Linked DNA regions of Schizosaccharomyces pombe. The main gene of each other region encodes a partner of the protein of the gene in region 4 in a complex. Each region holds a gene or a part of one and is shown on either strand. Other genes may lie near its edges. The genes, in order: mrpl22, mrpl15, img2 and mrpl27.

Region 1 (8,027 bases), on a different chromosome or scaffold from region 4:
CTTTAATAATTTGAATATGTTTAACTAGATAATAATTGTACAAGGCAAACAACCCATATAGCATTATATACTAAGTTAGGAGAACTCGCCGTAGTCTTACTGCATCGTTCAAATGGTTTACAAAACTTGGTAGGTAGCACGTAGTACGTATAGTTTACCGAACAATTGCTAGAGACATAGTTTGCTATTGATACAGCCTACTAACTAAAGCAAAAGACATGGTAAAAAAAAAAATTGTGCAAGTTAAACGAGTCTGGGTTTGGCGTTGGTAAATAAAAATAAGGACTCTTCCGAAATTGCTTCAAGAATCTGACCGTAATCTTTAACATAAAAATTAGTTAAAGACCGAGTAATGTGGAGAGGCGAGCTCCGACCGTGTGCAAGTTATCTGGTGTTAAATATCGGAAGGCTAACAGCATACGATATTTTTTGTACCGAATTAGGCATCGTCATCCTATCCGTACTGAGGCAATATAGTAATTTTGAAAGATGCAAGGAAAGATGTGCCAGATCAATTCATGTTTTGAGTTTTGAGTTTTAACAATTTCATAGGAATAGATTAGGACAAAAGCAAAAAGATGGAAAAAAGCCGGTTGGAAACCGAAAAAAAGCAGATGGAGTTAGCAGTGCTAGGGTATACAAAGATTATATCGTATACAGTAAGCCAACACTTACTAATTGAAATTCATTCATTGAATAATTGATTGATTACTTTCTTTAATGATTTATTTTTCAATTTGTTTCTTCCTCCCTTCACTTAAATTGGAGCGGTAGTAATTGAGCCATTAAACAATTCGATAGTACTATAACTATGATACATTACAAATGCTAGTGAAGAAGTTTGACTTTTACTAGAAGCAATTTGTTAGCGGCTACTATGATAGTTTTTTCATTATCCTTTTTCATTTTTTGCATGGCTTATTGCGCTTTCCTGTTCCCCTGTTAATTTGCCATCCCGTTTATGATGAGAAAATACATGCAAGTGTGTAGCAGTGCAATTTCCCGCAATTACACAAATGGTCGCATTAATCGGATACTGCAAAATGGAAATTTGAATTGTTTATTGGGATCGCTTTTTGTTTCAACTTGTTTGTTTCATCAGCGATGTGGTGATTGAACAACTAAAGCGTCAAGCAAATGCGCCATTTCTTCTTTTCTTTGCAGCATAGCGCATCCCGATAATTCCCTATTTCGAAATCAAAATATATAATTTTTGTGATACAATGCGAATTTCCACTCTCATCTGTGTACTCGTTCACTCTAGCAATACTGTTTTACACTCATCTCGGCGCAAATCGCATCTCTATCTTGTCGCCTCCGCGGGTGAAAAGCCTGTTACCTGGAGGCCGTAGCTGTTACCTGTGATCTCGCTTGTTGAGGTGTTTGATTTCTTTGTCTGATATGACATCAAATTTGGGATGCGATACGTGCCTGGCCCTTAAGTATGGGCGTATGAGGAGTTGAATGGCGACAAGCTTCGACGAAATTAGATGAACATTTTCTATGCATTAGGGGTTATGTTTTTACATGGAATTGTAGATTACAATTTTAATTGTTAAATAAAAGATTGAATGATTTATGTTTTGAAGGGCCACTTTGCAGCTATCAACAAGATGTGAATGCTACATGTTGCGAATCAACCTACCGTCAGCCAACTACATTACTCACCGTTCACTGAAAAAAGAAAGGATTTAAGGTGGTTTAAGAGCGCTGGAAGGTGTAGCTGAAAGCTCAATTCGACTATAAATTGAGGATAGTCGGTGAACGAGGTTTATCGGCTTTACTCTTGCAGTTTGGAAAATCGCTATCTTCAGTTGGTTGAAAAAAGGAGTTTAGTTGCGCAATTTCTTCCTAAAGTTTCCTCTTTTCACACTAAGGTTTTGTCTTCTTATTGCTTTTAAGTGAACCCAGCTGGTTTTTGCACCTTGGGGATCCTGTCTTCTTTATTCTCACTTACTCGACGTCCCTAACTTTAAACAATCCCCCTCCCTCCTTCTTTCCTTACCCTTTATCTCCTATCGTTCGACTGTGTGGGTAGGTGCATGCATTGTTAACCTGTTGTTGCTTTTCCTTCTCTCTCGTCATCTATTCTTTTATTTTACTTACCCGGTTTTTTCTGCTGTTACTAAAAAAGAAACCCAAAAATTTCCCGTTTTACTCCCATCTACATTTTTTTTGTTTATTTCGTTTCCCTCTCTCCTCCCTCAAAACTAGTGCATCGATTTCCATTAGCACGCATCTGTGATTGTTGACTATCTGTGTATCTTCTTGCTGATTTATTATTCTTAAGCTAAGACAATCTTTTAATTTTCTTTAAAAATTTCCATCCCCCATTTCTCTCCTCTTTGTTTTTTTAAAACTTTCTACTAATTTGATCCCATTTACTCTACTAATTTATCTTTTCATCTTCTCCATTTTGTTAATCTTTACTTTTCAGTGACGGATCCCTGTTTTCTCTTTTTCAAGTACGAACGTGCCTCGTCTACCTGAATTCCTCCTTTAATTTTCTTTTTTGGTAAATATCCCAATAACAAAAAAGAACACTAGTAATTCAAATACTGCTATTTTCGTGAAGAGTGGTTCTTTTGATTTTTTTTGTTACTTTTTTGCTCTTAATTACTTGAATTGCTTTTTTTTTGTTTATTGTCTTTTTCTTCTTGCAAGGATTCATTTTGAAACACCCACTTTTCTGTGTGTCTGAGGCAAATAAAGTGTAATCCCCAAAATACTCAAGCGATAGTTTCTACTCTTTAATTGCATTTTGTACTAAAATTAACTTGTCTCAATGTCTGCTGCATCATCCGCAATTCCCAAACGAAGCGATCCTCGTTTACTTGACCAAAAAAAATCCGCGAAATCAACGTTGCCCAAAAATACTCCAGAAAACGGTGTTAGCACTGTAAAAAGTATGTTTTTCCAAAATTTGTTAACTTAAACTTATGTTATGCGCATATATATATGTATATATGTAACATTTTTTTTTTATTTTTACATAATTTCTAACTTTGATTTAGACTTACAACATGTTCCTTGTAAGTTCTTCCGAAATGGAACTTGTACCGCAGGCGAAAACTGCCCTTTTAGCCATTCTCTAGAAACAGAACGACCAATTTGTAAATACTTCTTGAAAGGGAATTGCAAATTTGGTCCTAAATGTGCTTTATCACACGCCCTTCCTGGCAACACAAATTTACCTAATGGAACTTCTACAAATACTATGGCCTCAATGGCTGCTAATGGTGGAGCAAGCTCTGTTGCGTCAAAACAAATGGGTGCTAATCAGATTTCCCCTTCGCTGTCCTCGAAAACGATGAAAAATCCGGCAGATAAGGCTAACAACACAACCGCTACAGATGTTAGAGGTAATACTGCCACATCCCCCTATTTCCCATTTTCGAGATCTCCTGGCAGGCATAGCGGCAATTCCACTATTAATGGTATGATGACAACGCCAAACTTTTTGTCTTCTGGAGTAAACAGTCGCTCTGTGGATGAGTTTAATAATAGCTCTTCTGGATTTCCCTCTAGTTTGAATGGAATTCCCATTGCTTCTCCTCCATTGGCAACATCACCAACGTCTTTCAGTCTTGCGTCTAGTGCTTCGTCTACCAATCTTGGCGGAAGTAAGGGGTTGTTGTTTCAGCAGATGACGAGTGAGAATAATAGAGATTACTTTTCTCGTCGTCCTACTCTACTGAATACATATGGTAATAGGTGTTCTTCCACTGATACGTTGTCTTCCTTATCTAGATTAACAAGCCAAGACCCATTAAAAGCATCTCTACCATTACAAAGCCCGCCTCTTGCTCCCAAAACCGGTGTTTCTTTATCCCGTCCTCGACTTACACTCGATCAATCACTTGGCAACTTATCACTTGGCTCGGGAATAAATCAACGACGACAGGTACCTCGTAGTAATTCCTATGCTGGCGCATTTCCTTCAGTGGTTAGTGCTAGCTTGCCCACTAAAGTAGATTTGAATCATCAAATGGACGTTAGTGATGAGGAGCAGCGCTTTTTAAGTACGCCTTTAGGAAGCTTTGATGAAAGCATTTTGGGCTCATCACCTATCAATCGATTAAGTTCAAGCTTTAAGCAGTACACTTCTTCCTTGAAAAGTCCTGGTTTAAGTACTCGGACCAGCTCTACTATGAATTCGTTAAACAGTAGTAGGTTCGGCGCATACTTCTCCAAGTCTCGTTATGTTGAAGGTTCGGGTTCAATGTCTACCACGCCCTTAGCCACTAGTGTCAATAACTCTTATAAGTTACCTTCAGGTTTTAGTGTTCGTGAAGAGGCCGTCTTCAGCTCGCCAACCACTGAAGGTTCAAGACCTGTGAGTCTTGCTCGATTGAAGAGCGAGCCTATTTTTAGAAGTGATACAGCATCTCCGGAAACCATCGCTGGTCTTGGTGATACAAAAAATGATCCTGTCGTGAGTACCAATAATAGCGTATCACGTATAACCGTTGCTAATAGTTCTCCTCCGTGGAATAGTACGGTGGAAGAAGAGACGCCATTCCAAATGGATGATTAAAATGAATGCCGTCGAAAAATTTACAAAAAGCTTGAAATGTTTTATTAAATTATGCATTATTATTGATAGTTATCATATTTTTTATTTTCTCTGTGCTTATCGCATGTTTTCAATATGTTTTTAAATTGGGGTTAGCAACATATGACCCTGCAAAACGTCTTGTTTAAATATGCGAAATTTTTTTTTCTATTTCCAAACATTCTTAAATGAAAACACTGATTTTCTCTAAATTAATTTTTACCCACAGTTTAAAAAAAAAAACTCATTGTTGTGGTTCAAGTTAATATAGTTGATACATTTACTATCTCAACTTATTTTTTCATTATGGCCCATTAAAAAGAATTACTGTCTATTTGATGCGGTTTGTTTCCTTTTTTTTCCTACTGATCATTTGCTACTGCAAATGAGTTAAAATGCGGATCCAGCGTACCTTTACACCTAATAATTGGGGAATTAATGATATTTTATACTCGGTTTGCTTGATTGTTTAAAAGTGTCTGATGAATTTAGAACCAATAAATATGTGTCAAAATGGTGAAGAGATATGGATAGCTTCAACATATGGTCCAAAGCACGTTTTGAAAAGTCAAAAAAAGAAGCTCGTTGCAATGCTTCAAACCAAATTTGAAAAATGTTAATGAGGCAAACGATTGCATGAATGATTTAATAAGATTAGACAGTTTAAAAAGAATTGCGTTCTTTACGAAAACGTATCATTGAACTAAAAGTGATGTATGTACAGGTTGGTTAGTTTACCTTTTTACAGTACTATTTTTCTACTGATACCATCAGCACCATAGAGGTAAATACAAAATTATGGCGTTGCTAAAGAAATAAATAATAAGGGAAACCATATTCTCATAAAAAAAAAACGGCACTAGAATTACTATAAACGATATTGGGGGGAAATATTATTAGAGTATCAAAGATATGGGCATCTCAATAATGACTTAGCAAGTGAAAAAGTTAGATTTTAGGTATATTGGTCGGTTAGGCAGAGGCGTCCAAACTTTCTTTCTTTCTAGTCTTTGTTGACGACGCTGTAAATCGCGCAAGAGAGCTCGCTCATCTCTTAAAACAACAGTAACTCGAACCCGTGGAGATCTCTCAATGGCACGACCTCCACGGCCCATAGTGATAAGTTTCTTTAAATACTTTGCCTTTCCAACCCATATTTGATCAACGTAGAGAGTACTCTCATCAAGACCAGCTTCACGAACAGCGTTTTCTCGAGCAGAAACCAAAGCAGTTGCGATGTACTTGGAAATTTTTTTATCTGACATTTTCATTTGAAGTAAAGCATGATAAAATGGCTTATGGGCAATTTGACGACACAAAGCGCCGACTTTCTTTAAAGAGGAGCGAAGCACCATTGATTGTAAGGTGTAGGAAGGATCCATGGTCTCCTGTTTTTTGAAAGAAATACGTGACCTTGGTCTCTCTTTTACACGCTCTTCCTTTTGCTGACGATTAGAATCGTCCTTCTGGTTAGCAAGCATTGAGAAAATGTCGGACCCTTTTTGCGAACCCAAATTTGCAGGATTTTGTGCAGACTCCCTTAAGTAGGATCCATTTGAAAATTCTCTAACAAAAGAAAGTAATGGAAATTTGTAATGGTACGTTTTAGAATTCAATCCTATCGTGGACGATGGAACTAAAAAGCCCTTTGATATTTTCATAAATTGATTAATGTATTTCATAATTAAATCTTAAAAATTTTTTCCCAAATATTCCTTCCACACATAGAAGTCAACGTTTTCGACTAATTTGAGCAAATGCGCTTTCTCAATGTTGTAACAAAACCAGGTAAATATTACATGCCAAGGTGGTACTAATAGGAATTGCAACCTAACGAATTGCTAACTGTACTATGTTATAGGTCAGTTAGCATTTCCCTCCTTATACAGTTATAAAAATCTTAAATGAGAGAGCTCACTATCACTATGCAAGCTACTCAGTTTGTAAATCTATTTCAAGGATGGATAAACTACGATAAGGTAACTTTACAACGATGTTAACACATGCTTACATGCTTTATGCTGGCACACTAAGCTGCACATTGCGGGTATTATCTGAACGCGTTAAATGCATGGTCACGTAAAGACAGAAAACGGCCCTTGGCAGTAAACAAACAACCCATTTGTATGTTAGACAAATAATATTAGAGACAGGTGCAGAGACTGTACATGAATTGTTATTTATGATATCTTTTAGCTTCTTTGGGGAGGACGAGATTAATATTACGACCTAGTGGGCGCGTACTGAGATATTTTAGTACAATAACCTTTTGAAATTTTTTGGATATTATCCTTTTCTTTTTTATTATGGAACAAGTACAAGATGAAATTTGGAAGTTAAGTACGCTGGACGCCTGGGAAATGGTGAACAAAAATACAGAAGTTGTGTTTGATGAAATCCCCGAGCCAGAAACTTTAAGTGAAATGAAAAGACACCCATTGTATAGCAACATCTTTAACGCCGATAATAATACTACGAGTTTCACAGAACAAATCGAGACTTCTGAAACCTCCAAAACCCAAGACTCGGAGGGGAACAAAGTTGATAAAAATTTAAAAGAAAACAAGTCAATACGTCGTAAGAGAAGCATTGACAACGATTATGAATTGAGTAATGTAAAGAGAAATGATATAACATCGGGAAAAAATAGAGAATTCGAAAACGAACACCATCCCGCAAGCGATACTTCTTCTTGGCGGGAACTACCATCAATTCCAACGTTGGAAGAATTGACGTCAAAGAGTGTTGAATTACCTTCAAACAACATATACGGAGGATACAAGTCCTTTGAAGATTACTTATCTATACACTATCGGTTGCTACGTGAGGACGCAGTTTCCCCATTACGAGAAAGTGTGCTTCGGTACAAGGTAAACCCCAATTACATTACCGGCTCTTCGTTAGCCGTATATGATCATGTGCGGATAGATGGCTATACAATATCTTCCAGTGTTATAGCTGCAAAATTATCCTTCAGTGTTCGCGCTAAGAAAAAAATAAAATGGGCTACCAGTCGTCGTCTTATCAGTGGATCTTTAGTTTTATTAAGCAATGATGATTTCCAGACTTTTCGCATTGGAACTGTCTGTGCGCGGCCCTTGAGTGGCCTTAATAAACATCCTCATGAAATAGATGTCAAATTTGAAGATATTAGTATCTCTTTAGATCCTCGAGAAGAATATGTTATGATCGAAGCTACTTCAGGCTATTGGGAAGCTTACAAGCATGTTCTTCGTTCATTACAGAGGCTTTCTGCTAGCACATTCCCGATGAAGGATTACTTGGTACACTGTAAAAGTAATCAGGAGACTGCTAAACACATACAAAATAATCCTAGGATACGCATAAATTCTATCTTAAAAAATAACTCTCAAAAAATCGTAAATGCTCTTGAGCCGTTCGGTCCTGGCGAGTATATACTAGACTCGTCACAGTTAAAAGCTTACCAGTCCATGCTGACTAAGAGACTCTC
Region 2 (8,290 bases), on a different chromosome or scaffold from region 4:
ATGGGACGATCAATCAACATTGAAAGAGCTAAAATAAAATACTGAACATTGTCATCGAGCATAAGACGGGCAAAGAAATGCTTATTCCAAGAAGCACGGGAAGTCAAGTTTGGACTATAAGTTTTGTAAAGGACAATTGCATATGCAACGATGGCACCAAAGGCAGCGCTTTTAAACAAAAATGGAGGAGCGGAACGAAAAGGGATTGCTTGAAGAGCATACAAGACGGAAGAGATTAGCACTATTACTTGCCCCGAAAACCAAACAAACTGGGTGTTCTATAATAAACGGTTAGTAATGTATTAAAAGAGTGAAGACAATATGACACTGAATCAAAATAAAATAATGCTGACAAATTAGTCTATGTTTTAGTAATAGATTACAGTTACGTTATGGAACTAAATAAGAAACTTTTCTTATAATCAACATTTATTATCTGATTTACACATGATAGATATATTTACCTTGACAACAGGTAAAACCCTTTCTTTTAAAGGCTTGACAACTCGTTGTTTTGGCTCCATTATAGCAAAGTTGTTATTTTCAAAGTTTTAAAGATGTGGCTTTTGTTAAGTTAATATCCAGCAAAAAGTATGTTGTAATAGTTGTGATAGAGTACAATGTACGCTTACCAATGGAAGATCCTAAATTTTCCTACATCAGAAAAAGAAAACCTATGGAACTTCTGTGAAATACGCTAGTACACGTTTTGACTAGAATTCTTTTAGCAGGAATATAAGCGCTTAAAAAAGGATTTACGCCTTTGAGTAGCATTCAAGCTATTACAATTAAATAGATTTAAATAGGGGCTACACTCTTTAGTTTTCTAAAATCCAATTGTTTAAGTCTAGCAGACACTCCAGAAAGCTAACATAATTCATTTACGACCCTTGATAACAATGTACAAGAAGCTCTGACTAAAATTTTTCAAAGTGAAATGCTAAAGTACGATGTTGTTTGTTACGCTATCTGTTCTATGTTTTACATGGAAACAATAAATGGATTAATTCTTGCACATTTACTAGTGGACAATAAATGGTTCAGATTCAACATTACTATATCACACTTGTATTGCTCGGCAACCTTCAATAACTTCTATTTAAAAATAACTAGCAAGATCTAAACTGGCTCTAGAGTATTCTCGAAGATAACACTTTGTGGATTCCGTTTTGAGTCCAGACGTTCTGTTAACAACATATCCATACGTAAATTGTTAAGTTATTTGTTGGCGAAGACGAGTACTATAAACGAATTTTGAGAAGCTTGGTATAAGTAAATGTTAGACTGTCGAAGTAATACGCCCTATATGTGTTCATGCCAAAAGAAATCAATAATATAGTTGACAATTTGAAATGCAGTGTATAATTTAAGGCAGTAAGAGACGAAAGTAAAGAGGGAAAAGGAAAATCATGTACTGTTATCACTTTATTCTTCGTTGATTTTCTTCTTCTTTATAATCCCACTATATTTGGTGGATTCATAAACTCGGTTGGTCCATGTTTATTTTAATTGATTTTCGTTAGCTATCTTAAAAGAAATTGGGCGGAAGATGCATCATAATGTTTAAACCAGTTTAGTCTGATCAGACACTAGTAAAAACGAGAAAACAATACTTATCTACCAATGAGTTTTCAGGCATCTATAAATATCGTTCTAATAAAAATCGAAAAAACAATCACAACTAACAAGAAAATCTTTTAAGAATTCTCAATCTTTATAACAGTCAATTTTCTTAAATCTAAGCTAATGCTCGCGAAATTCTTTGGTAGCTCTGAGTTAATAAATCAGAAAGACAAAACAAATCATTCAGGTTGAGTACATTTATACAGTAAGATTCCAACCAAAGCTTCCATATATGATATCTTTTGTAAACTTAAGGAAAGAAATAACGAAGCGGAATGTAAACATTTATTAAGTGTTTATACGTTCCAATACGTTAGATCTTATTATAGCGATTATAATATCAATTTCATATCTATCGCCGTATCGTTAATGTGATATAACAATAGGTTGCGATAAGGAAGAGGTTACACGGTCATATAGCCATACTCTCAAAAGATTAGATAAATTAAATTTTAAGTAGTACTACCTCCTTTTTGCGTTGGTTGAAAACTTGAAAAACTGACTCTGTTTTAACAATTCTGAATGGCTTCTTCACAAAAACTTTGGGGCGGTAGATTTACTGGCGCCACTGATCCCTTGATGACAGCTTATAATGAGTCTATTCATTATGACAAGCGCATGTTCAATGCCGACATTGATGGCTCGAAAGCTTATGCTAAGGCATTAGAACAACGCGGAATCATTAGTGCTGATGAATTGGATAAAATGTTAGATGGTTTAGAGGCTGTCCGAGATGAATGGAAGACAAATAAATTCACTCTTCAACCTTCTGACGAAGATATCCATACTGCTAACGAGCGCAGATTGGGAGAAATAATTGGTACAGGCATTGCTGGTAAGCTTCATACAGGAAGAAGTCGCAACGATCAAGTTACGACCGATATGCGCCTTTGGCTACGTGATGAGTTGGACATCATCCAAAAATCTTTAGTTGGGTTACTCCAAGTTTTTGTTGCTCGTGCAGAGTCTGACCTTGATATCATTATGCCCGGTTACACTCATTTGCAAAGAGCCCAGCCTATTCGCTGGTCCCATTTCTTATTGTCTCATGCCTTTTCTATATTAAATGACTTGGATCGCTTGAAACAAATTTATTCTAGAGTCAACCGACTCCCTTTAGGCGCTGGTGCACTTGCTGGTAATCCTTTCGCCGTAGATCGTAAGTTCTTACAAAAGGAACTTGGTTTTGAAGGGGTTATTATGAATTCAATGAATGCTGTAGCTGACCGCGATTATGTTATTGAATTTATGTTCTGGGCTAGTATGGTAATGACCCATATTTCCCGTTTGGCAGAGGATCTTATTATATATTCTACTTCTGAGTTCAACTTCGTTACCCTTTCCGATGCTTATTCAACTGGAAGTAGTATTATGCCTCAAAAAAAAAATCCCGATTCTTTAGAACTTCTTCGTGGAAAGTCTGGCCGAGTTTTTGGCAACATGATGGGCTTTATGGTTTCGGTTAAAGGGATTCCTTCAACATATAACAAAGACCTCCAAGAAGATAAAGAACCGCTTTTCGATTCTTCCAAAACTGTTTTGGATTCCATTCAAATTCTAACCGGAGTTCTTTCTACTTTAACTGTAAATCCAGAAAATATTGCTAAGAGCTTGACTGCGGACATGCTAGCGACTGATTTGGCAGAATACCTTGTGCGTAAAGGTGTTCCCTTTCGTGAAACTCATCATATTTCCGGGTCCGCTGTCCGAATGGCCGAGGAAAGAAACACTACCATTGATAAGCTAAGTGTTGAAGATTTTAAATCGCTACACCCATTATATGAAGAAGATGTTGCAGATGTTTTCAACTATGAATCCAGTGTGGAGAAGCGTTGTGCGATTGGTGGTACCGCTAAGAGTTGTGTATTAGAACAAATCCAAACCATTAAAAAGGCCTTGGAGTAGATAAGTTTACATGAAATGATATGGATATACTTACTTTTTCTATATGTTCGTTTGATCATTTAACAGGGCTTCCTCAACATAATTCCCCGAATCGAGGTTTTTTGGTGTAAAACGGGCAAATAAATAATTGTAGCCTCATAATAATATTTTAAAAACACGTAACTTAAATCTTAAATCGTAAATATTCATACTGAATGAAGTAGTACTTTTAACCTTTCGTCTTTCTCCTTTTAACATTATCATCATCGTCAGATTCCCCTAACTCGTGAATATCTGCTGTATCGTCTTTTGATAATACAAGCCCGAAACCTGCATCAACAATTTGTCCGTCTTTTCCTTTCTTTCGCTCTTCTTCTTCTTTGCGTTCCTGAACTTTGGCAAGTCGATGAATTTGAGACATAAAATTCGTAGGTTTAAGATCGCTATATTGATTTGTATCAAAGACTTTCTTATGATAAGGCGCATCCAATTCATGATGACCTTTAAGCTGAAAAGCATCCTTCGCCTTCAACTCAGCAGGCTCTTTATCATTTTCATGAAAAGGATCATATTCTCCAACCTCCTCGAAAATATCGAGCTTCAAATCAACTGGTGGAAGTGGTATATCATGCTTAACAAAGCTTTTCCCTAAGCTATTAGCGTTCACGTTTAATTTCTCGGTTCTATGTTCATTTTCTAAACGTTCATTATCATTTTTTAACTTTTTTTCCTTCTTCACAAGCCGTTTTAGGATTTCACCATTTTCATCAAGCAAATATTTAACTTTTTTTCCATTTTCCAAAATTTTACGATATTTCGGTTGTCCATTAGGATAAAGAGGTATCTTCTTTTTTTCTTCTAGAATAGAAACAGATTCAGGATGTGATGACTCCTCAGCAACTTTCTCTAAAAGCTTGTCTGCTTCTTCGTCAACTTCTTTCTCACTCGAAGAAAGCAGAGAATCATCCAAGGCTAGCTCATTAGAGCGAACTTTTTCAAGCAATTTTCGATCAAGACCACGCACGAGATGAGTTGTATTCAAATCTCCGCCTAATTCTTTAGATTTTTCTGAATATTCTTTTGTCGTAATTTGGCCATTGCGAAGTTTCTCGTGCAATTTGTGCAACTCAATATCCTGTTTGGAAGAAGGCTCTTCATAAAATTGAGTATCTTTCCCTGAATTTTTTGCATTAGAATGTCTCGTAATGTCTGACGATGTAGAATGACTTAGTTGTTTTCTTTTAATTAGGGCTCTGGGTGCTTCCAATTTGGCCGTCTTATGTTTACGACCAAAAACAAGTCGCTGACTTTTATTCGATGAGAAATTTTTTAACTGGGAGGTTTCGGCTTTTGGAGTAGCTAAAAGCTTTCTGAAATCATCTTGGTTCATTGTGACAAATTTTCAACCAAAACTTCAGTATCCTTTCAATTAATTGTTTCTTTGGAATAACTTTGTAGTAGTTGTTTATATACACTTAACAGTAAAACACAAAATAAATTGTAAATTATTGAAACAGTTTGATAACATTAGCATACCTTGACGTTCGTACACTGTGATCTCAAGCGTAGTGCGCTATTTTACTACTTCGTAATCGGCCAATGTTTTTTAAAAACAACCTATATTCTAGTTGCAGAAAACAGATATCTTTTCTTTCGAAAAGTTGATTTTCCATACAAGGGTTTGAGGAACTTGAAGCTCTTTCTAAGATTTTATGCCATCCGTATGTTAACAAGACATTGTAATCGTTTAGGACTTCAAATTGAAAATAAATTTGTGTTCAGATCATCATCATGGAATTGTGTCCGTCGAATTGGGAAAATTGCGTGTAATGAAAATAAGTACAGATATGAAATGACATCTACAGAAGAAGACATTGACAGCTTTTTCAGTCGTGTTTTTGGTGAAAAAAATTACATCTCAGACAAATCTCTAAGAGAACAAATTGTAACTCATAAATCTTATAAACATGGGCTGAAAAGATATAATGAACCTTTCGTTTCGGTTGGAAATGCAGTTATCGATGTTTGCTTACTTAATCATTATTTGGAATCAGGAAACTTTAGCACAATACCTTCATACAAGGATTTAGTAAATCTTCGTTCCCCTGCTCGACTCGCTGAAGTTGCAAAAAAATGGAATCCTGAAACTGCCACACAATGTATTTTGCCATTAAAAGGGCCTAATTCTCCATCTTCGTCTAGTTTTGAAAAGATATACAGTAGTATTGTTTCCGGACTTGTTGCTGTCGTTTACTTCCAAAAAGGCGGAGTTGAGGCTATGAATTTTTGTAAGAAAAGCATCATATCAGATTTGACAAAAGATTTCGTGAGACCTAATACCGTGCATAATCAATAAGATGTGTAGCAGCAGGATAAAATTCTTTATGCAAAGGATGCCATAATATAGTACATTTTGCCATACGCTTATTATTACTATCGATTTATTTAACGCCTCTTTCATTCAGTCAGTAGTTAATAATATATTTCATATTTATCAACATTTGTATAATATAAGCTGCATCCCAAAATCTTATTGATCGAGTTGTAAGTCATTGGCATCCATTCACAAACTACGTTTTTTAAGCTCCCTTATCTTTTTCAGCATATCTGCTAAACACTGTTTTGAAACCAAACCGTCACGCATATTCTCCTCGTATATTAGATAATGGATATTTCGTGCCCATTGGTAGAGTCTACGACCTTGTTGCAGCTGGCGTCTGACTTGTCCGATGGTAGAAGGAAAAATTGCAAAAGGGATATTTAATTGGACCAAAACTGTTTTCAACATGTTGGCTGTTTCAACACTACACTGTTGATCTATATGCTGAAGGCCTAGCCGATAATAAAGTTGTTTTTCCTTAGCCAGATTAAATCTAGAATCAGGCATATTTAAGGAAGTAAGAGGCTGTGAGGTATGGAAAGTAGGGATGGTAGATGAAGCAGGTGTTGAGTAGCTTTTGTTCTTTTCGATCATTAACTCACTTTCATCTGACAATTTTGCATCAAGATTATTGGTATTAATAACATTTCTTATATCATTTTTTGCAGGGGCTGTAGACCCGTCATTCAGCATAGTATTCTCCTTATTATTTCCTTTGTCAGTAGTCTTTGTGGTTATTGCATTTTTTGAGCTTTCATTTGATTCTTGATCTCCATTTTGAGAAGTATGCCGAAGAATTTGTATCTCTTTACGGGCTTGGGTAAGTTCCTTACGCAAGTGCTCAAATTGCAAAAGAATAGCATCAAGTGTTGATAGCTGAACTCGTATTTCACTTGGAACCGCAATTTGAGATTTTTCATTATACCTTCCGTTGCCTTTAAGGTTAAAATCATTGCTAATAGTAGCAGATCGTACCTGCTTCGTATCAGGTTTTTGCTCTTTAAAGTCTTTTGTGCTTTTAGGGAATCGTTTTGGAGGACAAAGTGGAGTAGAAACAGTTGTTGACATTGTTGTGGGACAATAATCCTGCTGATTCATAAGCAATTGCTTGGTTATATTTTCAATCTGTTTATCTCTTTGTTGGCATTGATTTGATAAGGATTGTATTGTGGCATTCATCTCCAAAACAATATTAACAAAAGAAGGAGGTAAATCGGTAATGGCTTGTTTAAAAGGATCGATGTCTTGATCATTCGACGACATCTGTTTATTATTAGAAAGATTTTCCTGAGCCTTTTGACAATCCGTAGATTGGATAGGTTGACTAATAGAAGAAACACATGTAGATGAAGTAAGAGGATAGCCAGAAGGCGGTACTGGATATGACTCTGGTACAGTTTCCAAATGAACATTCCGATTTTGAAGCTCCGGCTGTGAGAAATGTTGTTGTGGATAACCTGAACTCAAAGAAAAATTAGGCTCAGGATTATATTGATTAGGGCGAGTGACTGGGGGTGGTACGTTACGGCTTGGTGGAACCTGTAAACTTTTTTTAGTCTCTTTAGATTGCTGATTAAACACTTCAGGGTCCAATCCATCTTGTTGATTAGGAACACTAATATTATCTCGTAGCTGTCCTTTTGGACTTTGGTCATAAGAGCTGGTGTGTGATTGAGAAGGTGGAAATGAAGGTGAATTGGAGTGCATATGACGAGCACTAGGTGAATCAATCACTTTCGGGGCGACATTCTTGTAAGGTGTACTAGTATAAGATGCTTTCTCCGAGTTAAACGAAGGCTCATGATGTCTTTGAGCATTTTGACTATTATCACCAAGTTGATGACGCGGATCCAGAAATAAGTTGTTTGAACCTGGTATTTGCTCTAAAGGAAGTCTTGTAGAGTCATTGGGGTTCGAAATTTCTTTTTTGGTGTTTTCTTTAATCGTAGTACTATTTACGCCATTAACAAGCTCACTTATTTGTTCATCGTTAAGTCCATCCAACAATTCAGCTATTCGATCAATTCTAGCGGTACGAGACGGATCTGCATCTACATAATATTAGTTACATTTTCAGTTGACAGACTTTTCGAAAAAGTATATGGACGTTACAGGTGAATACCCTTCAAGCCAAAATGTATGTCATAAACCAATTTCCCTCTTAAAATAGAAAACATTTAGTTCATCTACAGATGGAAGAAGACGGCATGAGTGTAATTACCCAGTGTTTTCAAAAGTTCACAATACAAGTTGACATTAAACTTTACCTACCTTCGTCAAGGGAGTCAAAGTATATACTGTCACCCGCAGATGGATGACTATCAAAATGAGAATGACCTAACCATCGGTAATCTGTACTCAAACTATCACCAAAAGCCTCATCCATTCTAAAACATGATTAAA
Region 3 (8,385 bases), 840 kb from region 4:
AATAATCAGAATTAAAGCAAGAAGCCTATAAATGGTCCATCAATTGTGAAATCGATATTGCTAGATGTCAGGCAAATCGTGAACTCGGTTGAAAAATGTCGTTAATATTCATGTGAAATCATAATTACAGCAATATGTTCAAAGACTTTTGGATACTTTATAATAATGAGGATTCTATTTTTGAGTGGTCACATGGTCTCGTAACCATGAGGTACGCCTTACTTTTACGGACGAAACAATATTTCACATTCAGCTCTCAATGTTAAGTATCCAAACAAACATGGTACAAACCAATAAAGCATGTAAATTAATAAGCTTGAAATAAGGAATAGTCATTAAATTCAGTTTAGACATAATGTAAAAGGTATCAATTTTGTCTTTGGTATAGATACAATTAAGAATTTCGAGACGGAACGTTCGGTGATGTAGAGTTTTCATAATAATTTCTGCAGTTGCTTACACTAACCGAAGAATCGTCCAGTATAAACTGCTGACGATGCCTTAAATCAATAATTGCAAATTGCATAGTTGACGTTTTCCCGGGTGGCACATAGTGAGATTTGAGTCGAATAATGAAATAGCCTCTGACGAGTGGTTTCGTACCAAGAGTTTCAAAAAGAATAATCCACATTAACTCAATGTATCATTGATGACGGAATGTTGCTTATATAGCCAGAGTAACCCTGCTCTGAAGCATCTAAGGTTATATCTTTTTAACTTTTAGCTAGCAAACTCACTTGTTCCTTTAAGTTCAGAAAGTATCTGCTGGTTATTCAACAGATAATTATCTTGCGAAAAAGGAATACACACTCAGCATTGTAATTTGTTGAGTATATTTCACAAGCACATTAAATTGCATTATCAAACATGAGTGGGGATATTTTAGTCGGTGAATATCTATTCAAAAGGCTTGAACAATTAGGGGTCAAGTCCATTCTTGGTGTTCCAGGAGATTTCAATTTAGCTCTACTTGACTTAATTGAGAAAGTTGGAGATGAGAAATTTCGTTGGGTTGGCAATACCAATGAGTTGAATGGTGCTTATGCCGCTGATGGTTATGCTCGTGTTAATGGTCTTTCAGCCATTGTTACAACGTTCGGCGTGGGAGAGCTTTCCGCTATTAATGGAGTGGCAGGTTCTTATGCGGAGCATGTCCCAGTAGTTCATATTGTTGGAATGCCTTCCACAAAGGTGCAAGATACTGGAGCTTTGCTTCATCATACTTTAGGAGATGGAGACTTTCGCACTTTCATGGATATGTTTAAGAAAGTTTCTGCCTACAGTATAATGATCGATAACGGAAACGATGCAGCTGAAAAGATCGATGAAGCCTTGTCGATTTGTTATAAAAAGGCTAGGCCTGTTTACATTGGTATTCCTTCTGATGCTGGCTACTTCAAAGCATCTTCATCAAATCTTGGGAAAAGACTAAAGCTCGAGGAGGATACTAACGATCCAGCAGTTGAGCAAGAAGTCATCAATCATATCTCGGAAATGGTTGTCAATGCAAAGAAACCAGTGATTTTAATTGACGCTTGTGCTGTAAGACATCGTGTCGTTCCAGAAGTACATGAGCTGATTAAATTGACCCATTTCCCTACATATGTAACTCCCATGGGTAAATCTGCAATTGACGAAACTTCGCAATTTTTTGACGGCGTTTATGTTGGTTCAATTTCAGATCCTGAAGTTAAAGACAGAATTGAATCCACTGATCTGTTGCTATCCATCGGTGCTCTCAAATCAGACTTTAACACGGGTTCCTTCTCTTACCACCTCAGCCAAAAGAATGCCGTTGAGTTTCATTCAGACCACATGCGCATTCGATATGCTCTTTATCCAAATGTAGCCATGAAGTATATTCTTCGCAAACTGTTGAAAGTACTTGATGCTTCTATGTGTCATTCCAAGGCTGCTCCTACCATTGGCTACAACATCAAGCCTAAGCATGCGGAAGGATATTCTTCCAACGAGATTACTCATTGCTGGTTTTGGCCTAAATTTAGTGAATTTTTGAAGCCCCGAGATGTTTTGATCACCGAGACTGGAACTGCAAACTTTGGTGTCCTTGATTGCAGGTTTCCAAAGGATGTAACAGCCATTTCCCAGGTATTATGGGGATCTATTGGATACTCCGTTGGTGCAATGTTTGGTGCTGTTTTGGCCGTCCACGATTCTAAAGAGCCCGATCGTCGTACCATTCTTGTAGTAGGTGATGGATCCTTACAACTGACGATTACAGAGATTTCAACCTGCATTCGCCATAACCTCAAACCAATTATTTTCATAATTAACAACGACGGTTACACCATTGAGCGTTTAATTCATGGTTTGCATGCTAGCTATAACGAAATTAACACTAAATGGGGCTACCAACAGATTCCCAAGTTTTTCGGAGCTGCTGAAAACCACTTCCGCACTTACTGTGTTAAAACTCCTACTGACGTTGAAAAGTTGTTTAGCGACAAGGAGTTTGCAAATGCAGATGTCATTCAAGTAGTTGAGCTTGTAATGCCTATGTTGGATGCACCTCGTGTCCTAGTTGAGCAAGCCAAGTTGACGTCTAAGATCAATAAGCAATGAGCAAGCTATTGAGAGTGGAATTGGCAAACAAAGTTTCCTTTGATTTATATGTTTTTTATGATAAGCCCATTCAATTCATATAGTCTTTTAGTATAATGATTAGTTATTAAATTTATGTTTAAAGCAACTTTTTAGTTTAAAATTTTTCAAGTCAAGTTAGGGTGTACGTAAACAAACAATACCTTGGAAGCAATGAATGAAAAGGTAGAGTTAATCCAAACAATGTGGAAACCAGTTTCCTTGCATCTACTTACTAGTTTCGCAGAAAAATTGCTAAACTGCTTAAAAGCCAACTTTAACATTCTTATTTCTTACATAGGAGCTACCGTTCCATTCACATTGTGATATGCTAAGAATTTATTAGTTTTACAAAAATTGGGTGATTCTACTATTTAATACAGTGGTTTTGTAACGTAATGAAATTATAACGCTCGTTTATTACGATTTCCTAGGTAATGTAGCGGGTAAAGGCAATTGACTGATATTATGTATCACTCTATCACAGCAACGGACGAACGGTTTGCGTTGTTGTTTATAAATGGTTCTGCAACGCAGCTTCTGACTTTGACACTCTACACCACACCATACTTCAGCGCTCTATTCTTTCGCATAGGAAGGTAAGCTGCATTTCGTGGCGTTTGGTACCTTGAAAAAATATATTTTGGTTAATATTCGTTGGCTTTTTCTTTTAATTCTTGCTACTAATTCCAAGAATTGTGTAAGTATAGGAAGAGGCTGTGTTGATCGGTTAGTTTCGTAATTTCGGCATACTAGTGATTCCTAAAATACCGACTACTAATAATTATAAAGCTTAGATCACTTCTTTGGCTAAAGTAATTAAACCAGGAAGTCTTAAAATTCCGCTTTTTAGCATCCTAAAAATTTCCCCGTCATTTCTCAAAAGTGTTAAACGCGTGAATGTTCTCAAAGCTCTGTTTTCTTTTCTTTGCTTTTTGAACGGCTTTGTCTTTGCATTAATTTTTGTGACGCGTTTTGTGCCTCCAATAGGTAATTAATCTAAATCCGTTTAAAAAGTTGTAGGTGACTTTTTATTTTATTACGTTTTGCTTTCATAAAAAAATCCATTTCCTTCTGTGCGTTGCATATTCATTAATATATCACTTTGATATACATTAAGGTGAATTAGAAATTATTGAGCTCCTCTCCCTTTGTTATTATTTCACGCTTTTTCTCAGGCCCACTTATAGTCCTCTGAGGAATTTTTTATCTTTTTTTTTAAAATACCAACTCAGTTTTTGTCGAGTGATTCTTCTTTTTTATTCATTCATTCGGTTAACTAAGTTCCCTATATTATTTTGTTTTCTACTACAAGCATTACGTTTTGTTTTTCAGTGAGCTTGTTTCGCATCTCTGACCAAAAGGAAGCAAATTGACGGCTAGTGTATTTTTGACTCGTCACATTCTTTTGTCTATCTTTGCCAATTTTTCAAATTATTATATATCTTCGAGATTAACCTCCATTCTTTAGGCTTATTCTCGTAATTTCCTTCTCAATTGAGTTCAATTTTATTAATATTGATTTCATCTGATATATTTTTTCCTTGGACTTTTTCTAGATTATATTTGTTTGCGCGCAATTTACTTATTAAATATGCCTGAAGGAGCCGGTAGACCGTGGAATCTCACAGAACTTGAAGAAGAGAAGTTGAAGACTATGTGGAGTTATTTGTTTAAGCTCTTCGGCATTACTTTACTCGAAAGAACTGAATCTTGGTACACAGTGAAGACACACTTATCTGATGATTCAAGTAGTTCCTCATCACATCGTTTAAGCAGCGTCTCATATGCGAAATCCCGTACACGACTTGAACTAACGTCTTCATCTCATGGCTCGGACACTCGCAGTTTTAATGATAAAACCAAAAATGTGCATTTGGAAAGAGTTGAAAAAATTGCAAGTGAATGGGACCCGGAAGGGCTTAGAGTTTGCTTTTGGGATGCTGTTAATTGTGATGATCCTGATGGCCTTCTACTTCGTTTCCTTCGTGCTCGAAAATGGAACGTTGAGGCTGCGTTGGAAATGTTCATGAAAACCGTTCACTGGAGAAGTAGAGAGATGAATGTTGGTGAAATTGTATGTAACGCTGACCACCTTGATAAAGATGATGATTTTGTGCGTCAACTAAGAATCGGAAAGTGTTTTATATTCGGTGAAGATAAACACAATCGTCCAGTTTGTTATATTCGCGCACGTCTTCATAAAGTTGGTGATGTCTCACCCGAATCGGTTGAGCGACTCACAGTTTGGGTCATGGAAACTGCTCGTTTAATTCTCAAACCTCCTATTGAAACTGCTACTGTTGTTTTTGATATGACTGATTTCAGTATGTCCAATATGGACTATGGGCCATTGAAATTCATGATCAAGTGTTTTGAAGCACACTATCCCGAATGTCTGGGTGAATGTATTGTACACAAAGCGCCTTGGCTTTTCCAAGGCGTTTGGTCCATCATCAAATCTTGGCTTGATCCAGTGGTTGTCTCAAAGGTTAAATTCACTCGTAATTATCGTGATTTGCAACAATATATAAATCCTGACAATATTTTAAAAGAATTCGGTGGGCCTAATCCATGGAGATATACATATCCAGAACCCTGTCAAAACGAAGCAGAAGCTCTGAAGAATGTTGAAGCTCGTAAGAGTCTTAGAGCAAAAAAGGATGCAATTGCTAAACAGTACGAGGAAGTTACAATGGATTGGATTTTGAACAATGGTGACATGGCAGAAGTGAAACAAAAACGTCGTAAGTTAGCTTCACAACTTATTGATGCATACTGGAACTTGGATAAATACATCCGCGCACGCTCAGTTTACGACCGCATGGGCCTAATTGCTCCTCAAACTTCCCATACTTTGCTTCTTTCTCAACCTACAAATGGAGATGTCAAAGAATCAATGGTAGAAGTTACTAGCTCGGCAACTTAGTCGGTCGTAACTTTCAATATTCCTGCTATTTTACATTGTAATCCTTCCCCTTGCCTATACTCCCGTATACTGACTAATTGTACTTTCCCGTGTTATTCTAAATAAGATGCTGGCTCAAAATATGATTGTATCATCTATTAATGCATAACTTTCAAGATCTTTTATATCAATTAGTTACATATGAAATCTCTTTCCTACGTTGATTTTTACACCCCTTTTCGTTTTACCATTTCCTTATCGCTTTAATTTTTTAGCACTCTCTTTAATGCACTTAAAATCATCTAGAAAGGGATAACTTTTTTTAGGTCTTATGGCTTTTCATTGAAGTTGTTGGTCGCAATACTTATCCATCCATTTTGTCTTTATTAGAATCAATGATCAGTTTTATTTGCAAATTAACTTAGATTTCTTGCTATTTATTATTATTTTTTATTTTATTGTAGGAAAGCGGTTCGAAATTAAAAAAAACAACAAGCTGAACACCTAAATGCCTACTCCAAAATATAGTATTAATTTAATGAGTATGCACCTTCGCTGAAGTATATTCCGTGCCGTAAAAATACTTTCGAGTTTAAACACGCGTGAGGTTCAAGCACCGATTAAATTTATTTAAAACAAGAGCGTTTTATTTTATTTTAATTGTTCTTAGTGAATCACTTAATCTTAGGCTCCTGTTTGACAGTTGTTTAAAACTTACAAATTTTTGGAGGTTATGATAGAAATCCTCTTTATTCGCGAATGCACGACGACTTCTTTTACACATCCACCATAAATTCCTGCAACTCGTAGAAAGTTTTGTTGAACCAAATGCGATCATCCTTAAAGCCAGTGCTATCAAATTTGAGGTTCAACTCAACAATTGCATCCGAATCACTTCGGTTTCATGTTTCACGTACACCTTCAAAAAATCTCCCAGTCTATCTAGACTACAAACAACGAGGAACGAAAATTCTGACTTTAATTCGTAAAATCCATGGTGATTCTAATGTAAGTATACATATTCCGTCAGCAGTAATCTCTTGGCTAAAGAAAGTACAAGTAAAGTCACTATGCTGCGGAAATTGTTCTATCAACTTTTTGCTTTAACGGCCAACCCAAGTTTATTTTAACTTCTTTTATTCGTTCTCTTTTTTTTTTCTAACAATATTTTATCAATAGGCTTTGCGGCTCAGGCTCATTTCCACACTTAAAATGTCACCGAAAGATGTTTATGTAAACAAGTTAACAAATCAAGTTGTCCTAAAGGGAAATCACATAGTCACAGTTCGTGAATGGTTACAAGACCAAGGTTTTTAAGTTCCTAGAATTTTTCCTTTTTTAGATTGTTACTATGTATGTACGTATCCTTCTTTCAAAGGAATGATAAAGTTGCTTTTTATCAACATAAAACTCTCGAGCATATATATCAATTTGGCTTTTTAGCATATTACTTTTACTTCATCTCCTTGTTACAGCGGTGATAATGTCAAATAAAACACAGCTGTTGCAAATAATTAATCTCGATTCATTTCTTCTCATCATACGTGGTTTTCAAACTTGACAATGGAAAAAATGCATCTTTTGTGATGGTTTTCCTTAACTACCTTTAAATAAATAGTTATTCGAGCTTCAGTAGAAACATTCAAGAGGTACTTGCGTAAAAAGAAATTCAAACATCTGCTTAATGTGAGGCGTCCAAATGCTAAATACAATCTTTTTTTTGCTACCTATTCGTTTGTTTTGTTGAATTTATAAACGCTTAAAGGAAATTATAATATATATATCGAAACTCCGGTGTTTTTATTTTTTGACTGTAGTTATAGACAGAATACGTTTAAGGCTATTAGGGTATATAACTAAATTAAAAATTCTTTTCTCAATATTGTATAGTTTGTAAATTGACAAATATTAAATGCTATATCGAAAACATACCTTCAAACATAATCTATATATCTGCGTCATACGCCCATGGACTGTTCTTTACCTTTCCCTTCACACATACTTATAATCCTGAAATCTCAACGACTTTTTCATTATTTTTGAATTGAACTTGGATTTGTCTGTGATAGGAATATTTTGACAAACATTTTTAGCTTTTAAAATTTTTGCTTTGTTCTGAAGACGTTGATTTACAATTTGCTTATGAATTAATTATTCACGAGAAGAAAATTCCTTGTAGTTTATCCCTTTTTTATTGGTGATTATAAGCTGAATAACTCTTAATGTTGGGAATTATATTTTCTTTAGTGAACTGAGGCTTTCTCGAAAAATACTTACGGTTATCCATGATTTAATGATTTTCTGTTTTTTTTGTTATTTTTTTTTCGTTTATCAAAAAGTGGTTAAGCATTGACACGATATAAGGCACTTTATTTCCGTGTTGAATTTTTTGTTTTGTTTTTTCTTGACATTAATACCTTACTTTCCTTGAATGCGAACAAACCGCATTCATTTGTATTCGATTATCGAAAGCCTTTTATTCCTTTTCTTTTTCTTTTTTATTAATGCCAGCTTGTTATTGTGCGACATCAACGTCTCTTGAAAATAATGAATTGCTATACAAAAATATTCGAAACTTGTTCTCTACTAGCAGGAGTTTTCCAATCGAACAAGAATGGATGAATTTGAAATCGATAAGTCAGATGAAAGACTTTTTTTCAAACTTTCCTGGTAATAGTAAGGCGAACAACCACTTTCTCTGTAATTCTCCATTGAAATTCGAAATTTTTAACAATGAGAAATCTGTTAAACCTTCAAATGGGCCTCATCTGTTCACGAGATGTTCATGTCGTTGTAATAAATTATTGTCTGGTGATTATATAACTCAACAACAACCAATTGATGCTTCTGCTGAACATTCTCTTAACGCCAAAGGT
Region 4 (7,848 bases):
TTTTCTATTCTGTACATCATGAGCTATGGAGGTGGCCTGGTATCAGGGGATCGTGTAGCGCTGGATATTATAGTTGGAAAAAATGCTACATTGTGCATACAGAGTCAAGGAAATACAAAATTATATAAACAAATACCAGGAAAGCCTGCAACACAGCAAAAGTTGGATGTAGAAGTTGGAACGAATGCATTGTGCTTGTTATTACAAGATCCAGTGCAACCTTTTGGAGATAGTAATTACATTCAGACTCAAAACTTTGTATTAGAAGACGAAACTTCTTCTCTTGCATTACTGGATTGGACATTACATGGTCGAAGCCATATCAATGAACAATGGAGTATGCGATCTTATGTGTCCAAAAATTGTATCCAGATGAAGATTCCAGCTTCAAACCAGAGAAAAACGCTTTTGAGAGATGTGTTAAAAATATTCGATGAGCCTAACCTACATATTGGTTTAAAAGCCGAACGAATGCATCACTTTGAATGTATAGGCAATTTGTATCTTATAGGACCAAAATTTCTTAAAACTAAAGAAGCAGTTTTGAACCAATATAGGAACAAGGAGAAGAGGATATCAAAAACAACGGATTCATCTCAAATGAAGAAGATTATCTGGACTGCTTGTGAAATTCGGTCGGTTACAATAATTAAATTCGCTGCTTACAACACTGAAACTGCACGAAATTTTCTTCTGAAATTATTTTCGGACTACGCAAGCTTTCTAGATCATGAAACTCTTCGCGCTTTTTGGTACTGAACATGTGAACTCGTATTTCTTTAAAAAAAAAAGAAAAACCAATTTAATAGGGTCCATATTTTATAATTATTTGGGATATAATTGAAGCACGCTTTTAATTTTTTTAAATTTCGGTTTTACGAGTAGGATGTTCCAGTAATTGAAATCTTTTACAGAAATCTCGAATCGTTTTTTTTTTCTACTCCCTTAATTCCATCAAAGCTTCTGCGTTTTTTGAAAAATTACTTAATTATGGAATCAGTTATGTTTCGAATACAATAACCTGTTGCCAAAGTCTCGATTTACAAAAACGTGGTTAATACTCGAAGAGGAATATTTGCCTAAAGTGTAAATTGAGAATGTATCCGGTAATTGCTTATTTTTAATCCTTAATTTTTCTGTGGATCAATTGAAAAATATTAATTGCGATTGCCAAATCTTGTTTCAATGTCTTGGTTACTGTACTTATACTTTTATTCCAAGCAAATAAAAGTTTTATGCTATATGGAACGACTCAAAACATGCTTCTCTTGGCTAGGACTTGACGTTCAATTACTAACTGTTATAGAAAATTTACTATTTAGTACACAGTAGATAACTAACTAATTGGATATAGCACTTGAGACATAGATCTCAAAGAGATTGTATCTATTTCATAAAAGAGACCTTTGTCTCTGGTTTAATCTGTTAATGCAGTCACGTTAAGTAAAAGCATTTTTGGAATTGTAATCACAACAAATCCAAGTAACAAAATATCATTGTTTTCGTATGATCATTAGAAGGTTAAGGTTTGCAGTTTTAATATCATAAATGGCATTTAACAATGACTACGATTGTAAATCCAAAGCTTCAGCTAACAGCTGACTTTTAGAATTGTATAATCGTGCAACATCGTCTTTAACTCGAACGATTACCCAGTCTCCAGCAGGCACAGGCTTTTTGTAGTTTATGCTATAACTGGGAGTACGCACATCGAAGTTTTCAGTAGGAATAGGGTCCCGAGGCTGTGTTGATTGTGAATTTGCTTGCGATGATCTAAGATTCCGAACAGTCTCAAGAGACTCGATCAATAAAGTTGCAATGGCGCCCCCATGAGCCAGTTTCTGATATCCTGTCAAAGCCTTACCCATGAGTCCAATGCTGATCCATTCTTCATGTTCGGGGTCATAAAATGTTTTAAATACAGGTATCAATCCATCTTTAAAGGAAAGAAAATTGGAAGGATACTTAGATTGAAGCAAGGACGGATGCTCCTCCATTTTCATGCTGCGTTGACGTTCGCGATAAATGTTATCAATCATTTGAACAGCTTCAGGCGATTTCGAAATTTCAGAAATATGTTTCGCACTTGCTGGTAGTCGATGATATGCTGTATAGGCATCACTGGAAACAACCCAAGAAGCTAGACCGCCTACCATAAATCCCCCAATCCCTGCTAATAACAGCTTATTTTGAAATAATTTAGAGCTCATAATCAAAAATTGAACAAAGTTTCAAACTTTTCGTCACAATGTAATAGGAGCGTTTACTATTAGCGATATTCGGACGTTATAAAACTGATACGCAGATGGAGCATATGTGCAAAGCATAGGGTATCATTAATTTATGCAAGAATATTTATCGTATATTTTAAGAAAATATAATTACTTACATATCCAAAAAGTATTCTATAATAATAACTAATACAGGAATAAACAAATTTCGTAATGCAATTGAAGCAAAGCATTTGGAGAGAAAATGATGATTGTGAATAATTCAATGACATAAATTGTAATAGTACAACATTAATTAATTTATTTCTTTTAAGATTGAATGTAAGAATCGATGCTCTGCCCTACTGTAGGAAATTAATCACTTCGATTACATTCAGCAAAATTCAACTTTGAAAAAAAAAGCAATATCAGAGAATAATCCAGGTACCTAGAAAAACTTTCATCGCCATTGCTGCAGTTTTCTAGTTGGTTTATGAAGAAGCATATACAATAAAAGATCGGAGAACTTTCACCTTTTTTAAAGCATCTGTTTTCAAAAAAGAAAGAAACTTTTATTTTCCCTTTTAATACGACTTCGGTCCAAATTACAGAAGTTGCGAAAACGAAAGTCAAAATTTTTGTAATAAAGATGCATACAGAGGGTATTCTGTATTTTTTGAAACAAAACTCTAATAAATATTAGAGAAAAAGCAGCCGTGGATTTTAGGAAAACTCCATTTCAACGCCTTCAACAGATATCATTTTCAACTCCCATTCACGCATAAAATTAACTTTGATTTCTTCCAGATGAGTAATAAGGGACTTAGCAGCATCAACAATAACCTGCTTTGGAGAACAATCTTCTACGGTTTGTACACGAAGTATGAAATTGTGATTTAATGGATGAGGAACTTTGTAACCAGCAAAAAGAACCCTTTCGTCAGATAGGAGTTGACTTCGAAAAAGCAGTTAGAAAAGAAAAAAAAATTTAGAAGTCTTACTTTGCAAGCATATTAGCCAATGTATGATCCTCTTTTTCAAGAGTAACTACTGCGGCATTAGGTGATTTGCTATCGAGCTCATATGTGACTCTACACTGGTTAATGCAATTCCTTGTAAAATTGTTTATTCCTTACTTGGGGAGTCCCATAAGCTCAATGAGCTCATACCGTTCTGGCTGATTCATTATGCCAACGTTTTCAGCCGACTAGCTGAAGAAGAAGTAAGATGTTGATGCTTACGAGGGTTTTGTCCACGTTCTGTACATTAAGCATCACTATAAATCGTAATGCCATTTAACAAAAGCTTTAACACTTTATTCCACAACTCATCGTATTTCGTTATAAATAACGCGAACGTGAACGGACACTTAATATATATTTATCTGTTGGAAATCGGCTCAAACGAGTAATGAAATGGGAGATGTAACAGTATTTTTTAATAACTGATTTTAATAACTAAAATTTTTAAAGGCATATTTTGAGGCGTTTAATTGTAGATTAACCGTACTTGTTTTCATTGAACTGTGCAGAAAGATAAACAACAAGAAAGCTCATTTAAATGTTGAAAAAAAAATAGTTTTTCGTACTTATTTCATTTTTTAGTTTCATAATGTAATTCGTTTGTTCGTTTTAAACAAATATTTTTATTGTTTACATTCTATGTTTCGCTTTGACTGTTACCTTATACCGTTACCTTTTCTTTTATGACGGAAAACGCGCCAACTTAAACCCTCCATTTACCCAAATCGAGAGTTATTCAAAATGCATCAATCATTATTATGTTTTGGAGCAAGACGCTTGCCAATGACCACAAAGTTGGGTCATCAGTATTACAAGGGTACAAGAACTGGGAAAATGGGTCAAAAAACCAGGCATGGAGGTTTTCTTGTCCAGTGGTCGCGTGTTCGCACGTTTGTGCCTCCTTCTGGTGATTGTGAGGTATGTTGTAAATTAATGAATATTGTTTTATATTAACTTTCAAAGCTTTTGCCTTTTGTTTCTCGTCGAATTCAAGCCACTAAAGGAACTTATCCTGAAGGTGCAAATGGGTTGGATGGAGCTGTGTATTTTGATCTTGCTCATAGCTAGTATGTTTATCAGCCTCATTCTTTATTGTTTTGAAAAATTTTGGTACCCTTTTCAACTGTTGCTTTATTCTATCTGTTAATGATTGGGCATACACTTTGAAAGGAGAAATTTCTACGTTACGATACCTTATGTTGCGTTGACTGTTGTTATTTATTGTTTACGGACACGTATATTTATCGATATTCTGTTGTGACGTTTGCTTCTATTAAATATACTAGTTACATTCTTACTTTTTCTGCCAAAATTGGGGGCAATCTTGAGTACTGCGCATTTATATATTTATTATAGGATTAGTCTTTTTCATCCCATCTATCTTAGAAAAAAAAGGGCTGCTAATACCTAGCAATGCGGTTTAAGCATGGATTTTCTATATCTTGGATATCAGGTATAAAAATGTCGAAAACTTCATGTTTCTTGAAGAAATACAGACTAATATTACTTTGGTGTATCCTTGGCATTGCCTACATTTTATTCTGGACTCATCGGATTAGCAAAGCGTTTGCTTCAGTATCCTCGACTTCGGACTCAACCGTCCATCTTTTTGAGCGCGGAAATACCTTAAATGATAGCAACGACCAAATTTTACTTACATGCAATGATATCAAAAACATTACCCCTGCTAATCAATGTCGGTTTGCAAAGGCTTACTGTAAGGGAGAGGCTAGTGGGTTCTTTGATTACGTTGAATTTTATTTTTGTACCATTAACAGTCTCCGATTCCCAGTGTTATCAATAATTGTGGGATGGCTGATTTTCCTTTTCATAACTATCGGAATTTCTGCTAGTGATTTTTTTAGTACCAATTTGGTTACTATTTCGTGGCTACTTCAATTGCCCGATTCTGTGGTTGGCGTTACTTTTCTTGCTTTAGGCAATGGATCTCCTGATATTCTTAGTACGTTCGCTGCTGTACGTGTCAACAGTGGGGGAATGGCTATTGGGGAACTTTTGGGCTCTGCATTCTTCATCGTAGCCATAGTTGCTGGCAGCGTATGTTTAATAAAGCCATTTAAAATACCTCGGCGTCACTTCCTTCGGGATGTTGCTTTCCTTACCGGTACTATTTTACTTGTTATAATGTTTGTTTTGCATGATGGTTCGTTGAGTATTTGGCAGAGTCTCGTAATGATACTTTATTATCTACTCTACGTTCTTTTCGTCTTTTTCTCTGGTAGCTCTGGTGTTAGCGTGGTAATCACTGATGAGAATTATTTGCCTGTCTCCCTTCCAGTCTACTCACCGGTTTTAAATTCTTTCGATGACTCGGATTCCTATAGTAGCACGGATTCTGAATTATCCGAAGAGGCATTTCTCTTGCCTGCCCAAGCATCTAGAAAGACCCAAAAAATACATTACATTAACGATAATGACCCTTCAAATTCGTATTCCTCATATCAACATTCCCATGTCCATGATTTTATTCACAAAAACAACACTCATTCTAACCGTGTGCTAAGTCAGTCATCGGGCCCCATTGTGCGTCCTTCGTTGCTTGCTGCTCTCGACTTTAGATCTTCGAATGAGGAACAACATCCGGGATTACGCTCACTTGATCCATTGAATATTCAAGACGGTGATCTTACTATGCATCCTATGCATATTCGCCATTCTCAAAGCGATTTTTATCCCAGTGGAATTAACACCCCTGTGAGTGGAATTAATTATCCCAATTTGGGATTTAGCGCCAATAATAGCGTGCAATCCCTTGTTTCTGAAATCTTTCGTCACCCAACTCACACTGACGAAGACTTTCCATTACCCTCGCCATCACTTAGTTCTTTGCTTTTCCCTACTTTGCGAAATTTTGCCAAAAAATCATGGTATGAGAAGTTAATGGACGTCTTAGCTGTTCCATCTGTTTTAATATTTACGTTAGCATTGCCTGTATATCAATGCCCGCGATTGGCAGTTGATCCCATTTATCATATGGATGTATCTAACTGTAATCCATCAAAACCAACATGGTCCCGTAAACTTCGCTTACTACAATGTGTGTTCGTTCCTTTTGCCTTTGTGACCTTTTCCATCACAGGCGGGAATCGTTTATATATTTATGCTGCATCTTCTGTGTTTTCTATTTTGTGCATCACAGCTTTGTATTATTATACGGATGAAGAGAAACCTCCAAAATTTCTGCCGTGGGTAAGCTTCATTGGATTCGTATTAGGTATAATATGGATATCGACTATTGCGAATGAAGTCGTAGGTATTTTACGAGCCCTCGGTGTCATTTTCAACTTGAACGAATCTATACTTGGACTCACTGTTTTCGCTGCTGGTAATAGTTTAAGTGACCTCATTGCGGATATTATGATCGCTCGTTCTGGTTTTCCCGAAATGGCAATGGGTGGTGTATTTGGAGGTCCAACTCTGAATATTTTAATCGGTATTGGCATTTCAAGCTTCTATTCAAGTATCTCCAACCACGGAAATGACAGTGTCATTGAAATACCTCATTCCTTGTCGATTACTGCTTATTTTTTACTTGCTTGTTTGTTGCTGTTGTTGATCTATGTTCCATTAAACAGGTTTCGAGTTAATCGAGTTTTAGGACTTTTACTTTTCATATTATATATTGTTGGGACTTCTACTAACATAGTGGTTGAGCTACTTAAAGACAAATGAGCTGATTTACGTTTATTATTTCTCCTAATGACCAAGACAAGTTTCACTAATTCACTTATGGAAGATCATGCTTAACCCGGAACTTCAAAATTATCCCCTCTTTTTCGTCAATTTTATTTCTTATGTTTGGAATGCATTTTATTTAATTCGTTTATCCATTCTGTCCCAAATTTATTTGAGTTGATTACTTTTGGAGCATTACTACTTTTTTTTAGTTTAGCATTCGTCTTCTATTAAATGCTTACAATTCACCTCTTTTTAATTTTCACTCGGTTTAGAAGGAATTGACTTAACAATCAAGAAGTAGTTTTTATTTATAAGCCCATTTCATTGTTTGAAAAAGCTAATTTTGTATTTACTATATCGTATAAAGCTTTATAACAAAAAGTATAGCGAAACACCTAAGGCTTCGTTAAACGAGCCTCTTTGGATAGACTGCGTGTGTGCTGCCATCTACAGTGATATTCCAAATTCGTATAATTTATCTATGCAAGAATCATAGACAGTAAGATGTCACAATTGGTGGATGTACCCGCTCGTGGGTTTATAATATATGTATAATTTAAAAGAAAATTTGCTAATTCTAGTACAAGTCACCAGAAAGTTGCTATTGACATAGATTTTGCTTCACAAACCATAATTGGAAGGACGGATATAACAGTTAATCCTATAGACTCAAATTTGCAAAAAATTGTATTAGATTGCTACCAGGCTGGTAAGTAGATTTTTGAGTGGAAGTTTTATAGCTTTCATTCGCTTGTTTTCTTCAATGCGCGTCTTGTATGATCATTTACTAACTTGTTAAGAAATCCATTCAGTTTATGTAAACGGGGATCTAACTAAATTTTCCTATAGTGATGCTTTAAAGAAACTACGTATTGATGAACCAAATTCAACGGTAAATCAACATCATCAACTTAATT

Evidence for each region.
Region 1: mrpl27 (region 4) and mrpl22 share a complex: the UniProt entries of both Schizosaccharomyces pombe proteins name them as parts of the mitochondrial large ribosomal subunit.
Region 2: mrpl27 (region 4) and mrpl15 share a complex: the UniProt entries of both Schizosaccharomyces pombe proteins name them as parts of the mitochondrial large ribosomal subunit.
Region 3: mrpl27 (region 4) and img2 share a complex: the UniProt entries of both Schizosaccharomyces pombe proteins name them as parts of the mitochondrial large ribosomal subunit.

What each region holds. Positions count from the first base shown.
Region 1 is NC_003421.2:2,022,794-2,030,820, forward strand, and holds mrpl22 (mitochondrial 54S ribosomal protein uL22m), read right to left. Parts: upstream 6,342-8,027; 5' UTR 6,238-6,341; coding exon 5,488-6,237; 3' UTR 5,381-5,487; downstream 1-5,380. Other genes in the region: SPOM_SPCC1739.01 (zf-CCCH type zinc finger protein), read left to right, coding at 2,786-2,906, 3,015-4,537; helicase Hrr1, read left to right, coding at 6,862-8,027. UniProt on the Schizosaccharomyces pombe protein: Component of the mitochondrial ribosome (mitoribosome), a dedicated translation machinery responsible for the synthesis of mitochondrial genome-encoded proteins, including at least some of the essential transmembrane subunits of the mitochondrial respiratory chain.
Region 2 is NC_003423.3:4,360,623-4,368,912, reverse strand, and holds mrpl15 (mitochondrial 54S ribosomal protein mL57), read left to right. Parts: upstream 1-5,121; 5' UTR 5,122-5,230; coding exon 5,231-5,863; 3' UTR 5,864-6,031; downstream 6,032-8,290. Other genes in the region: tts1 (tetra-spanning protein 1), read right to left, coding at 1-278, 465-524; arg41 (argininosuccinate lyase), read left to right, coding at 2,146-3,528; SPOM_SPBC1539.02 (uncharacterized protein), read right to left, coding at 3,737-4,897; SIN component scaffold protein Sid4, read right to left, coding at 6,071-7,938, 8,159-8,273. UniProt on the Schizosaccharomyces pombe protein: Component of the mitochondrial ribosome (mitoribosome), a dedicated translation machinery responsible for the synthesis of mitochondrial genome-encoded proteins, including at least some of the essential transmembrane subunits of the mitochondrial respiratory chain.
Region 3 is NC_003424.3:584,730-593,114, forward strand, and holds img2 (mitochondrial 54S ribosomal protein mL49), read left to right. Parts: upstream 1-6,337; coding exon 6,338-6,517; exon of another isoform or gene 6,518-6,688; coding exon 6,689-6,826; 3' UTR 6,827-7,423; downstream 7,424-8,385. Other genes in the region: pdc202 (pyruvate decarboxylase), read left to right, coding at 868-2,583; csr102 (sec14 cytosolic factor family phosphatidylinositol transporter), read left to right, coding at 4,196-5,530; SPOM_SPAC3H8.04 (chromosome segregation protein), read left to right, coding at 8,014-8,385. UniProt on the Schizosaccharomyces pombe protein: Component of the mitochondrial ribosome (mitoribosome), a dedicated translation machinery responsible for the synthesis of mitochondrial genome-encoded proteins, including at least some of the essential transmembrane subunits of the mitochondrial respiratory chain.
Region 4 is NC_003424.3:1,429,501-1,437,348, reverse strand, and holds mrpl27 (mitochondrial ribosomal protein subunit L27), read left to right. Parts: upstream 1-3,950; 5' UTR 3,951-3,973; coding exon 3,974-4,150; exon of another isoform or gene 4,151-4,195; coding exon 4,196-4,300; 3' UTR 4,301-4,576; downstream 4,577-7,848. Other genes in the region: ure4 (urease accessory protein UreD), read left to right, coding at 1-759; SPOM_SPAC3A12.08 (uncharacterized protein), read right to left, coding at 1,566-2,210; DNA-directed RNA polymerase II complex subunit Rpb11, read right to left, coding at 2,934-3,165, 3,212-3,301, 3,347-3,396; SPOM_SPAC3A12.06C (sodium/calcium exchanger), read left to right, coding at 4,694-6,925; TATA-binding protein-associated factor Taf2, read left to right, coding at 7,436-7,467, 7,519-7,640, 7,732-7,848. UniProt on the Schizosaccharomyces pombe protein: Component of the mitochondrial ribosome (mitoribosome), a dedicated translation machinery responsible for the synthesis of mitochondrial genome-encoded proteins, including at least some of the essential transmembrane subunits of the mitochondrial respiratory chain.